Caenorhabditis elegans: one gene and its partner. The protein of the gene in region 1 interacts with the protein of each later gene in a pairwise test. Each region holds a gene or a part of one and is shown in the gene's direction. Other genes may lie near its edges.

Region 1 (5,881 bases):
TGCATCCAATTTCGGAAGAACCCATGTGCAATTCCCGCATTTGCTTAGATCGGTTGTAGACTTTACATGAGTAGTGTAATCTATAATACGGATATTTATTGGGAATCTTGTAAAGAAAAATAAAATAACTTACGATTAACTATCACTAGAAATTCCTCGATTCTCATTTGATCCACAGATTCATCGGCCATAATCATTTTTTTGTTGAAAAATCAGAACTGTTCAAAAAATTGGATAACTATCGAATGTAGAAAGATTCAAATGACTACATCTATGAGTGTCATGCAATGGTGCTCAAAACCGATCGATTTGTTGCTCTAAACCTTTAGGAAGGTCCGTTCTTCCACCATAGAGTCTCTCAATACACCTGTCTATAATTAGTCTCTCCCTTTCAATGTCTCTTATCTAATCCGTCGACTACCATGTGCACGAAAACATTCTCGAGAGCAGAGATTTTAAGGGAAAAGATAATTATAATGGAATCCAGGAAATGAGTGTAGTTCGATATCAGTTGTTGATAACATTCCGGAAGAGTTCAATGGTGGCCTATAAGGTCATCAGTGCTCTTGCCCGCCTTCGACACTTTTCCCAATAATAGAAATTCCAAAATTATACTAAACTACGGAGTTCACCCCAAATGCACAAAAGACACTTTACTTTCAATTCGAAACTTCTATTGTTTTCAGAAAGTATATCATTCGATCCCAAACTCTCTGGACACCAAAAAAGGTTTTCTAGTCAGAGTAGACATTTTTATATGCAAAGAATTGAGTAATATACTGTCATAATATCAAATTCGTCAATTTCAGTTATATCATGTGTGTACTGTTGAAGAGTACATCCATCCCCATCTGTTCCCACATCTGTCAGTTCATTTGTGTCGGCTGAATGTAAAAGTAAGTGAGTCAATCCATCGAAGGTCAACTTCTCGCGCGAAACGACACACTCCTTGATTATGGAAATTTCAAAACTGCTATATGCCCACATTCGCTATGCATTCCATGGTTTTATATTTTAACAATTTAAAAATTGATACATCAATATTTATCGAATTTTACTACATGTTTTCTTTCAGAAATCGGTGCTCTTAGTTTTAGAAAAATTGAAAATAGTGACAATAAGTGTTTCGGACAGTTTAACGTCACGAAAGACATTCTTTCCAGTAAGAATTCCGAAGGAAGTAGCCCCCACTTTTACTGATATGCCAACTTCTCGCGATAGACGCATTCGAGATAAAAAGCGAGTTTTCAATAATTAATAAAGTGAAGAAATTTCAAATCAAAACAAGAAACCCACGGCTTTTATAACTTCAGTTTTAAGACTACTTTAGAATAAACAAGGTGATAACCATCAATTCCCGAATTGAAAAAGTTAGAAAATCCTTCCAAATATTGAACTCTACTAGAAAGCTTGCATTTTGGCAGAATTTTTTTTATATAGACTTTTCAGCTATATACTCTAAATCGTGCTATAACATTTTAAACCCTTATTTTACGAGACTTGAACACAAATTTCTCCATTTCCTGTCTCCACACTCATTCTCTCCCTCTATCGTCAATTTATTTGCCAAGACGGTAGGGCTCTCGATCGGTTTGACACAATATCTCATCTCTTTCCGTCTAACATTTCGACGTTTTTTTCGCGCATTTGCTCAATCTCCACCCATACTTCAAATATTTAATCATTTTTAACCCAAGTTTTTCTTGTTGATAAATGATCTTACATGGGTAAAATACAAAACTTTCAGTATGAAACGAAGAAATAATGACGATGCGATCGAAATTCTCCATTGATCGAGTTCTTCATGATACCGCATTTGCCAAATGGTGTCAAAAGGTAGAGTAATCGTTGTATCGTTTGGAAAAATCGTATTGTATACAGTAATTACGTTCTGAAAATTAATTTTTTTAATTTATGAATCTATGTAAATATAATTAAATTTCCTGCCAAATAATTAAATCATGTTCTAGGAAGAATCGCGGAACGCCGATTCGATAACCCTGTACACGTCAATTTTGGATTTTGAATCCAAACTGAAAACTGGTTCTCCATCTCTATCTCTTTTAAAATTGGCTAGGCATATTCATCGAAAATACGTCAGTTTGAATACTGGAACATGCCACGTCATCGGTGATTCAATACGCACTAAGATCTCCACACGGGTACATGAGGTAATGATCAATATACTTGTTAATGTTTGTCTAGTCAGTTGAAATATCGTCGGTTGGAATATTTGTAAAAAATACTTATATGATAGTCAAGCATGCCCAAATATTTAATTTAATAACTCCATTTTTGATATTTCGAAAATTTCAGTCAAATTTTCAAAAATTGTACTTTTGATAACTTCTGAACATTCCTGCACGTCCGAATCAGATGTGGGCAACATTTTTGGAGTCCAGAAGTTATGAAAAATCAATAAATTGTTTCCCTGCGAATATTCTAGGTCAAAATCAACAAATCCAGCAAAATCGAAATTTTTGAACAAAAATGTGGTCAACTTTTCGTTTTCTCCTGATTTTGAGCCTTGATGCTAATTTTGTTTCCTAAACTGTACATTTTTTTCTCCGTTTTTTTTGCATTTACAAGCTTTCAATATTATTAAAAAATTACAAAAATTACTTTAAAAACTTCGCAAAAGTTTTCGATCGGAGTTTTGAATAAAATTGTTTTTTGATTTCTTGTCCTAAGAAACCTGATTCAAATCTCTACAATGTTCAAATACTAATAACTAAAACATAACCTAAAAAAATCAAAGAAGGTTTTGATATGATAATCATTCATTCTAGCACCACGGGAGTAGTTTTTTGAAAACTACCCCACTTGCCATACTTTACCTTTACTTTGGAATATTTACTCAAATTTAGGCAGCCGTTTTTCCGTAGAACCGCAGGATTTTTTCATCTCTCCGAACATTTCTCGGGCGTGTTCTCTGTTCTTTCAAGTGATAAAAAAGAAGAGAAACAGTTTGGCAGTTCTTTTCTTCGGATACCTGTCAAGTACCATGTGCATACACACAAAAGACACAGTGAGGACACTTAACACAAATTCTTAGTGTAGATCAACACAGGTTGACACGTCATTAGGCTTGAAAGTGTTGGTCAACACAAAGAGAAGAAGTGCTTCATTTCTTCAAATAGATATTTATTAGTTTTTGATTTTGTTACCTCCATGGCTACAATGTCGAGACGGTGGAATTATTTCACACCCCATTATAATGATGAAGGTTCAATTGATGTGAGTAATTGATTATTGTTTCAATTTTTATACTTTTTCTAGTAATTTCATATTTATTAAAATACTGCTTTATGAAAAATCGCTCGTTAAAAGATTTTACAGTTCCGACTATTTTCGAGCATTGCCGTAGGGTCACCTTCCTAAAATTTTCCTAAAAGTTTCAGATCCGGCATTTTAAAAATATTTAAATTTTCAAAAAAATGGACGTAGATATATCAGTCGACATATTACAGTACCTTTTCTAACGGTAGATCTGAATTACCTGTTACTCATATCTTACCTTTTTTGTTGAAAATTTGTAAAATTGTCATATTTATTTTATTCGAAAAATCTTATATCCATATCATAAAATTTCAAGAAAAGTAAAACTGGATATCATCATGAATAATGTCTTTTCATCAATACAACTTTTTTATTGGAAGTTGATGAGAACATTTTTATCCAAATGTCATTGTGAAACCATAACATTTTTCAGGTTCTCGATGGTAAACCCCCGTACATAGACTTATTTGATCCTCTCAAACAACCACTTTTCCAACATTTACGGTCAATGCACACTGAATTTTCAACGACAACAGCCGATGTTAATACTACTGTAACTTGTGGTTGACTCTAAAATTTATCGAATTTATTTTCAGTGGGAAGATGCGTCATCAACAAGTTCTTCAAATAAAGGTGCTACAATATGGTTAGTAAAAATAAATTAAGATATGCGAACCGGATAGTAGAGCCGTTTTGTAGACACCCCACTAAATAAAATAATTGAAAGAAGATTCTCAAGTCACACAAATTTTCAGGTTCAATGAAGACGCAATCGATAAATCATCCCGCCACGAAATAGGTCAAAGTACAGTAACCCATGAGTCGGAAGATGATCGATTTTCGTTTTTCAATGCTGTCTGTACACGCCTTAATTCCTTACAGTACGTGCTTTTTGATATTTCGAATATTTAGAAATCGTTTTAGAGAAACAAAAAACTCATCAGAAACAGAAGAACACGCAGAATCGCCACGAAAAGAAAAATCTTCAACTCCATATGGGACTGATGGATTTGCACCGCCACCGAGGAGCACACAGACTAATACATTGAAAGTTTCAAATCTTCCGAAACGTTTTGAATCTCTTTACAAGTGAGTCTTGTGACAAAGAACCCATCTGCCGATTTTCGGCAAATGCTCATGTTTAAACAATAATTGCCAAACTGTGTTCAGGTTTTCAACATAAAAAATACGGTGCCTGGTCTCAAAACGACCGAAACTTCGAAGCTACAGTACTCGGAAATAGTTCTCAATTGCCCACAGTTTTTTACATTAAAAATATATTAGAAAAAATTGAGTTCGAGAAAAAATTGTCACACGGTCTAAATACTTTTTCTTCGGATAAATTGAAGTAAATTTCAGAAAGAAACGCCAACAAGTTGCCACATCAGATTCCAGCGGATTCGGAAGCAATGCTAGTGATTTTTGGAGTTTTGAACGTAGGAAGTTCCCAGTTTTCAAGAATTTTATTCGAGAATTAATTTCAGGTTATGGAAAATCCAATCAAGGAACACTTGAAAGACCAAATCGATTATTTACGGGAACAAACAACGGGTTTTCCACATTACAACCGTAAGCTTTCACATCAAGAATGGCGGTTAAATAATATATATTTTCAGAAAGAGAAGAGGTTCAGAGGCTCCAAAAATGACTGTAGAACTACGATACGAGAATGATGTTCCGATGGTGGCAAAGATTTCAGCAAATCATGCACAATCCGTCACTTTAAGATATTTTAGACATTTATTCGGTCTTCACTATACTGATAACTGCCGGTAAAATATTTTTAATATCGCCAAGTTTTCAAAAAAAAAGTTTGTTCAGCTTTTTCTTTAAATCAACATGCGAAGATGGTTCCGCTCAATATCAATGGACTCTGCTCTTCCATGATGATGACATTCTTCCCGTGTTTCAAAATAGAATTACAGCAATTTGTAGAATGTGTCCTCCTCCAGAAGATCATGATTTAATTTAACTTTAATTATTCGTATGTAAAGATATTGTCGTCAGTTTTTGTCTTTTAATTGTACGGTTATTCATTTCATTTTACAGCAAAATGTGATAAACAGTATTGACGATAATTGATAAGATAATTGTGAGATACTAATACAAAATATTAAGGGCTCTGGGACATCCGCTGTGTAGTTCTTGTGGGAGACTTGGGTCGACTGTAGAATAACTAACATCTACATGAGTTATTCGTTCCATAACTGATAATGTTTCAAATACAGAATCCCAATGAAGATCTGATCCACGAGCAGAAAATGAGCACAAATGCGAAAGCCAATCAGACTGAAATTGAAAAGGTTAACATTTTATAAAAATCTTCATGAATGCACCTCAAACTCCACTTTTGTTTTCGTTTCATTTATGGTAAGTTCCTCTAAATTCTTCAATTCTCCCAATATCAGAATCCAGATCTGATCGGAAATCCACGAGGAGTTGAAGCTCAAATCCAACTTCTTGAGATGAGACATGCCTGTAAATTGAGCTTTTTGGTATTTTGGATAAAGTTAATGGAATACAAACCTATAAAAACTGATGGGATAATAGTATCAATCGAAGTATTATTCGCAAGCAACCGTATTCCAGAAAGATTTAAAGA
Region 2 (6,717 bases), on another chromosome or scaffold:
TAACCAAATTGTTTTAACAGCTTTCATGAAGTTTCCCCTAAATGCTATCCCTTTTATCTGAAATTCATAATTGGCTCAGCTTTACCAGCTTTCCAAATATTTCTGGCTTTGACGCACTTTAAATATATTATTTCATTAAATCCTAAATATAAAGTTCACTAGTTTTGTCAAGAACACATCCAAACAACTCGGTTCCTGTGTACTATTGCATCTTGTGACCTACAAACTAGTCAAGGATCTTTGAATTTTTACCATAAGTACCCTTCAATAATATCTCCCAGCTCCACCAATTCAATCAAGTTCAAGATTTCAAATTGATTGATGTCGACAAATTAATTGAGAGTACAACTCGATCCGCCCTCATCAAATCCTAATCCATCACTCGTAATACATCGACCTTCTTCATCAGATCTTCCCTGTTTTTTGTGCACCACTCATCATTATTATCTCTTTCCACCAGACTCTTCTCTTTCAGTCGACTCTTCGGCTCAACTTTGATCCCTTATTGTGACCCGTTGTGGGGTGTTAAAAAAGTTTATTGATGAGTTATGACAAGTCTTTGTGGTGAGACTGAGAACGATGAGGTGGGGGAGGAAGGTATGAAGGTGGAGCCATTGTGTGCACAAAGTGGTTGCTACTGGTGGTGAGTAAATCAACACCTGATGAGCTGTTCAAAAAACAGAAGCAGAAGAAGAACCAGTCACTTTACTCTTTGCAATGTTTTCAGCTTTGCTTTCTTATTTCTATGATACTAGTATTACGTTAGTTTCGCATTATATTTTTTCAGAATTTTAGCTTGAATTTGTTCACTTATAATTCGCATATCACTACATATAACTTGAAATAGAAATGGAAATAGTTAATAAGATAATGATGGAAAGATCAATTGAATGACTAAAAATAAAACAATTAGAACTTCTGAATGAGTTTAGAGGTAGATTATTGGCTACTGGACCTTCGTAACAGTATCTATTTGTAAATACTTATAGTAGTTTTTGTAATTAGTCTTTACTTATACTAGGGCAATACAAAAATATATTCTGAATCGCTACAGTTTGGATGAAATCTCAATAAAAACTAGGCTCCAATTTTTAACCTTTTCCAAGTGTTCAGAAACTTTATTTCTACAGTTTAGAGTTTACTTATATTTTCCTATTCCACTGCATTAATTTTCTCATAATAGAACATGTGAGTAGATAATTTCTATGTGATTTATGTGATACGTTTGGCATATGTTGTACTTTTTCTCAGTTGCACACTTATCAGCTTGTGACCTGGTGGCACTCAACCCTTGCCGTCTCTCGAGATACATTGTACCGCAATAAAGATTTGAAAAACAATACGACATTAGCAAGAGCTGGTCCAAACTTGTGCAAGGTATGAGTGGCGTTTCTATTGAGAAAACACGGTCTACTGTATTTTAAATATCTTGATAAATGTTATTTGCTCTGTTAGTATAAACTTTACCAATTATGTCATTGCCAACAGCTATATTCAACTACGTCACGAATCCTATGTCTCACTTCTTTGCAACAAAAACCCTTGATCTTTTTAATCACATCTTTAAATGAGAGTTGATCTCATTAAACTACTCATTTGCTCAAGAAAATTCTGCACTCAATGCTGAATTGCTTTGTCCGTGTTTAAGTACCTAATTCCATGATCCAGACACATCTTATCTCATTCCGAACATTCCCGAACTTTCGTGTCATCCTTCACTTCACTTTGTCACTTCTCAAAAAGTTGTCGTTTCTTCTTGCTTGTCGACCCAAAAAATCATCGAGATTTTTGCAGGAATGCTGAGTCCTGCATTGCTCAAAGTGTCACTCAATCGAAGGTTCGTCAATGATTTTTTGTAGCTGCACTCATTGTTTGTTTTATGTTTCAATCTTTGTGTTTTCAGAAGCTCCGCTCCTGTACCACAAGATGAGGTGAGCCAATTGGTATTGAAGAAGGATAGAACTCTGATCAAATGGAAAAAAGAGGAAGAAGGGGAGGGGGTTAAGATGGATAAGATGGAAATGCTGGAGGGAAGAAGAAGATGGAAGGTTTCATTGGCGGGTACCTTTGAGAACCATTCCCGTGCTTTGGTCACTTGTCCTGATTTTTTCTTCACTACAACCTGATTTTATGGAGCTATATTCTCAAACAGAAGTTGATAGATAAAGTGTATCACCATTCCGTTTAAAAACTGTATTTGTAAAAGATTTATGTCTCAGTTCCTTAACATTTTTGGTAGTAGTCCTCGAACCTCGAAGCTACAAATAATAATTTGCTCTATTTATATGATACTTCCACTTCAAAACATTCATATTTTAACATAATATATTTATTTCAGAAAATGATGTTCCATTCGCGAAACCGGGCTGCATCATATTTGCAGCCGATGATAGAAGATCAGGAATTGATTGGATTCAACAGAGATAGAAGTGAGTTCATAATTTCTTTTTGCCTCTCTCCCGATTCTCGTAAAAAATGAGAATAAACAGCAAAATGTGTAGTAAAGGTTGAATAACGTGTGAATACCACGATGGCAGCTTCAATGTTCTTCTTTTAAAATAAGTTATTAACTTTATAAAAAAAACCAGAGAACAATTCAGATTGATTCTCAGAAAAAAAAGAATACTTCCGTCTATTTCTAAGTTGTCATAACTATCTTTATCAGGAAGAAGTTCCGGCTCAATAATCGTCGACAGTTTTGAACTCGGAAATGCTTCGCCAAGTCGCCGCGGTTCAATTGCATCTGGCATTCCAATGGACAAAAAAACCCGACGGAAGCTGTCAAATCCGGTAGGTTTTCTATGTTGTTAGCTCCCATCAACAATTGGAAAAACAAAATGAAAGATAAAATGATAAATGCGTTCGAGCATGATACCAATCTGATGAAAAGAAGAAACAATCTATCTCATATTGAGTCGGCATACCAACTGACGTTGGAGTCTCTACTTTTTTGATTTAAACGAAAAAAAGAAAGAAAAGATATCTGAGAGCCGATGATGGTCGTCTTTGATTCACTATTCATCAGATGATCCACTGACGAACATTTTCTCACCTTTCCCTGAGATGTGCCAGCCTATCAGTTTCATTTTTACCGAGTTACCGACCTTTTTTTTTCGTAATTTTTAGTTGCTTTTCGGGGATTTTTTTGACTACGAAATTTTCTCAGTAATTTTTTATTTTTCTTCCTTTGAAGAAAACATTTTGCTCGATTTCCATTGTTGCTCGAGGTTATTCACAGTTTTCTGAATGTGAAAAATTATGAGAAAACGCGGCTCCCATTCTTTCAGACTTTCTCTCAAACCTTCAGTATTTTGAAACATTTCAAAAACTCGCAGAGCATTCGTATTATGGTAACTTGTCCAGGCGACCGGCAGTTAGTTTCATATTCGTCCAATCTTTCCAATCTAGTTTCAGCCGAAAACCACTGCTTTCCCAAGTATACATATATTTAAAAAATAAGAAAAGAGAACTAACTATTAACAGAAAAAGAACGGGTAACTGAATATCCTTCTGCATTTAGTTTGATGTATCCTTCAAAAAGATAAGGAACAAAAAGTGACCAGCACATACATATATCGGATGTCTCGTTTGCAACTTTTGGCCTCCCATCCCATTTCCTGTCACCTCGTGACCTCATCGTTAGATCGAAAACCATTTGAGTGCAGTCAATGTTTTTGACACACTTCAGATACTCGCCATAAATCTTTTGAATCTTACTTCTCCATTCAATCTTTTCGGCTCTATTTCTTCATTTGTTTCTTTCTTATCAATTGTTCACACAGCCTGAAAATGTTCTCCAAGTCGAGCAATCGGTTCGGAACAACTTCTATATTTGGGGATCAGTCTATTAAAGATGAATACCGTAACCGACAGAGACGTCTTTCTCTGATTGGTGGACCTATAAGTGGAACATCTCCAAATCGACGAGAATCACTTGTTCGAGAGTTAAGAACTGTAAGTTCAAAGAGTCTTTAGTCGCCAGCTGTTGTCAGTTCAAGCTTGTTAACAACAAATTACATGGGGGGCCAACATTTGTCAAAAAATTGCTTCCATTTTGTTATTAGTACGAACAGAAATTGAAAAAAAGAAGTAAAAAACTTGAGTCTCAATTTCCTGATTTATTTAGTTCTACCACTAATACTTCAATGTATTTCCTAAGGATACACAGAAAATCTCAAGATTCTATAAAAAGTTGGTATTCAGAGACTAAAATTCATAAAAGACCGGTACGTTTTTTGCATGCCGTTTGGCCCAGTTTGTGTTTTAAACCCTATGTATAGCAATGTTTATTTTTAATGCTATATTTTCACAGTATAATAATTTGAAAATTTTAATTGTATTGTTATATCCGGTCAAAGGTTGACAACAGCCACACAAGCCATGTGTTTAATGTCGTTAACAACAAGATGAATGGGAAATTAATTGCTCCGCAAGCTTCTCCTTCAGAACAATACATTTATTTTCAGGTATCTCTTCATCAATACACAGAAGATCCAACACTTGCATGGGAAATGCTGAAAGAAAAAAGACCAGTGAAACCAGTTCGTCAGATGAGACTTGATACTCCAGTAAAACCAGATCATGTGAGATTTGTATGTATTGGATGTACACATGGAGAACAATTTGATATATCAAAACTCCCACCTGGAGATGTTCTCCTCGTGGCTGGAGACTTCACATCATGCGGTCTTCCAAATGAAGTTCACAATTTTAATAAGTTACTTGGAAAACTGAAATACTCTTACAAAGTGGTGATAGGTGGAAATCACGAATGCACATTTGACGACACATTTTTGAAATTGAGTAAGTTCAACTCCAATAAACCATTAACGATCAATCACCACAACAAAATTTGCAGAACAAGAGTCTGAACCAAAAGAAATGGCACTGAAACAAGCATTGTTATCAGCAATTCATTCTGATTCAAAGGGTGGAATTTCAGCGAAAGTAAGCATGATTTCAATTTATGAAAGTATACAATTTTTTGTAGGATTTGTTATCAAATGCAATTTATTTGGAGGATAATGTAATCGAACTGTTTGGAATCACAATTTATGGAACGCCATGGTAAGGATTGCAAGTTTTCTGAAAAAATTGTGGTAGATTCAAGTCGAAATTTGAAACAATTGTCACCTTCGACAAGTATTATCATTATATATTTTGTAGATCAATAAAAAATATAAGTTCGAATTGAATATTCTTTCTCACAGCATAATTCTATGAGTTCCATATTGAACCCATTGTATCAAAGCACAATTTCAAAAATTGCAGGCAACCAAAAGTAGACAATTGGGCATTCAATCTCTCTCGTGGACAACAACTATTGGACAAATGGAACCTGATCCCGGCGGGCGTTGACGTGCTTTTAACTCATACACCTCCACTTGGTAAGTTCAAAGTACCACAAATAGTAAAACACAAATTTTGTGCAGGACACGGCGATATGATGAACAATGGACAGAGAATGGGATGTGCCGAGTTGTTGAACACAGTTTTCAAGCGGGTTCGACCAAAGTATCACGTTTTTGGACACATTCATGAGGGCTACGGATGCACAACTGATGGATATACAAAGTTCATTAACTGCTGCATGTGTAATGAAAATTTGGATTTAAAGGTGATCATTCGTGAATTTTGACTTATTGAGAAAAATTGGGCATGACTCTGGGACGACTTTATTCAAGCAGCACACAAATTTAGACTATCCATGATTATTAAATTTGACAATTTCATCGTTAAAAATTTTCAGAACGAGCCAGTAATATTCGATATCCCAGTGCACCCTCACACCAAACAATTCTACATTCAAAATGTGAAGAAAATTCATAAAAGATTCCAAAAGAAGAAATAAATTAAATTCCTCTCACTGTCACCTCTGTGTCATTTTGTAGTTATAATTATACCACCACTTTTTAATTTTTTTTGCTCTTTTTCCACACCACGACCATCATCATCTATTTTTCTCACTCATTGAGCCCTCCTCCAACCCCATAAGAACAAAATAATATCCCATCCGGAAATGAGTCTTTATGAACTCGATGCGCAGTCAACAGCACCACAAAAAGAGCAAGAGAAGGTTGATTGTGCTTCTGCTGCGACAGCTTCTGCAACTGCTTCTTCTCGTCTTCCAATTCTTCTTCTTTCACCAAAATTGCTCCCGCTAACCAGCAATAAAACATTCCAATTTGTGAGCCTCTTTCGAGTCAAACATTATGAAATTCAATACCAAATTATGCTGCAACCTCCTCTTTTGCCCTCTGAAATCAGATATTGGCCATGTGTGGTGCGGTTCCGGCAGTGCCGGCTTCTTGCTCCACACAGACAAATCTCTTTTGTTATTCATCGATGTCTTTTCTCAGAGATATCATCAACATTAGACTTTTTTCGATTTTACTGAAATTCATTATTTCTAGACCAGAAATATCTGAAACAGGGTGAAATCTAGTCAGAATGATTTCCACCCAGAGTTGTTTCATATAGTCTGTAATTTTTTAGATACAATATTTTTCTTACGTCAGACAGTATCCACCGTGTCAGTTGAGAATACACATAGGTTTTAGTTTTAAATCACCACAAAAGCTAACAAGCGCCACATTCAGTTGCACGTAGAAATTAATCTCTGACCTAGAATATATGATAGAATAGAAAAAGGAACCAATCCATTAGGAATAATGAAAATTCTTTGGCAATTTTTTCCGAAATGAATCACAAATGAGA

Evidence for each region.
Region 2: the proteins of axl-1 (region 1) and T07D4.2 interact in a two-hybrid assay, tested with the Caenorhabditis elegans proteins (one large-scale study listed by BioGRID).

Annotation. Positions count from the first base shown.
Region 1 is NC_003279.8:8,512,155-8,518,035, forward strand, and holds axl-1 (Axin-like protein 1), read left to right. Parts: upstream 1-1,745; 5' UTR 1,746-1,764; coding exon 1,765-1,836; intron 1,837-1,970; coding exon 1,971-2,171; intron 2,172-3,066; exon of another isoform or gene 3,067-3,171; coding exon of another isoform or gene 3,172-3,237; intron 3,238-3,712; coding exon 3,713-3,832; intron 3,833-3,875; coding exon 3,876-3,925; intron 3,926-4,034; coding exon 4,035-4,160; intron 4,161-4,203; coding exon 4,204-4,368; intron 4,369-4,638; coding exon 4,639-4,715; intron 4,716-4,763; coding exon 4,764-4,848; intron 4,849-4,895; coding exon 4,896-5,051; intron 5,052-5,100; coding exon 5,101-5,251; 3' UTR 5,252-5,359; downstream 5,360-5,881. Other genes in the region: K02B12.2 (Myb_DNA-bind_3 domain-containing protein), read right to left, coding at 1-80, 134-197; tnsl-1 (Tonsoku-like protein), read right to left, coding at 5,380-5,568, 5,616-5,755, 5,806-5,881. UniProt on the Caenorhabditis elegans protein: Works in parallel with pry-1 in negatively regulating bar-1 signaling in vulval precursor cells and Q neuroblasts. Shown to have a role in excretory cell development.
Region 2 is NC_003280.10:8,869,020-8,875,736, reverse strand, and holds T07D4.2 (UPF0046 protein T07D4.2), read left to right. Parts: upstream 1-1,794; 5' UTR 1,795-1,796; coding exon 1,797-1,837; intron 1,838-1,903; coding exon 1,904-1,931; intron 1,932-2,338; coding exon 2,339-2,429; intron 2,430-2,665; coding exon 2,666-2,790; intron 2,791-3,782; exon of another isoform or gene 3,783-3,789; coding exon of another isoform or gene 3,790-3,954; intron 3,955-4,466; coding exon 4,467-4,803; intron 4,804-4,858; coding exon 4,859-4,947; intron 4,948-4,990; coding exon 4,991-5,067; intron 5,068-5,271; coding exon 5,272-5,387; intron 5,388-5,432; coding exon 5,433-5,617; intron 5,618-5,749; coding exon 5,750-5,851; 3' UTR 5,852-6,188; downstream 6,189-6,717.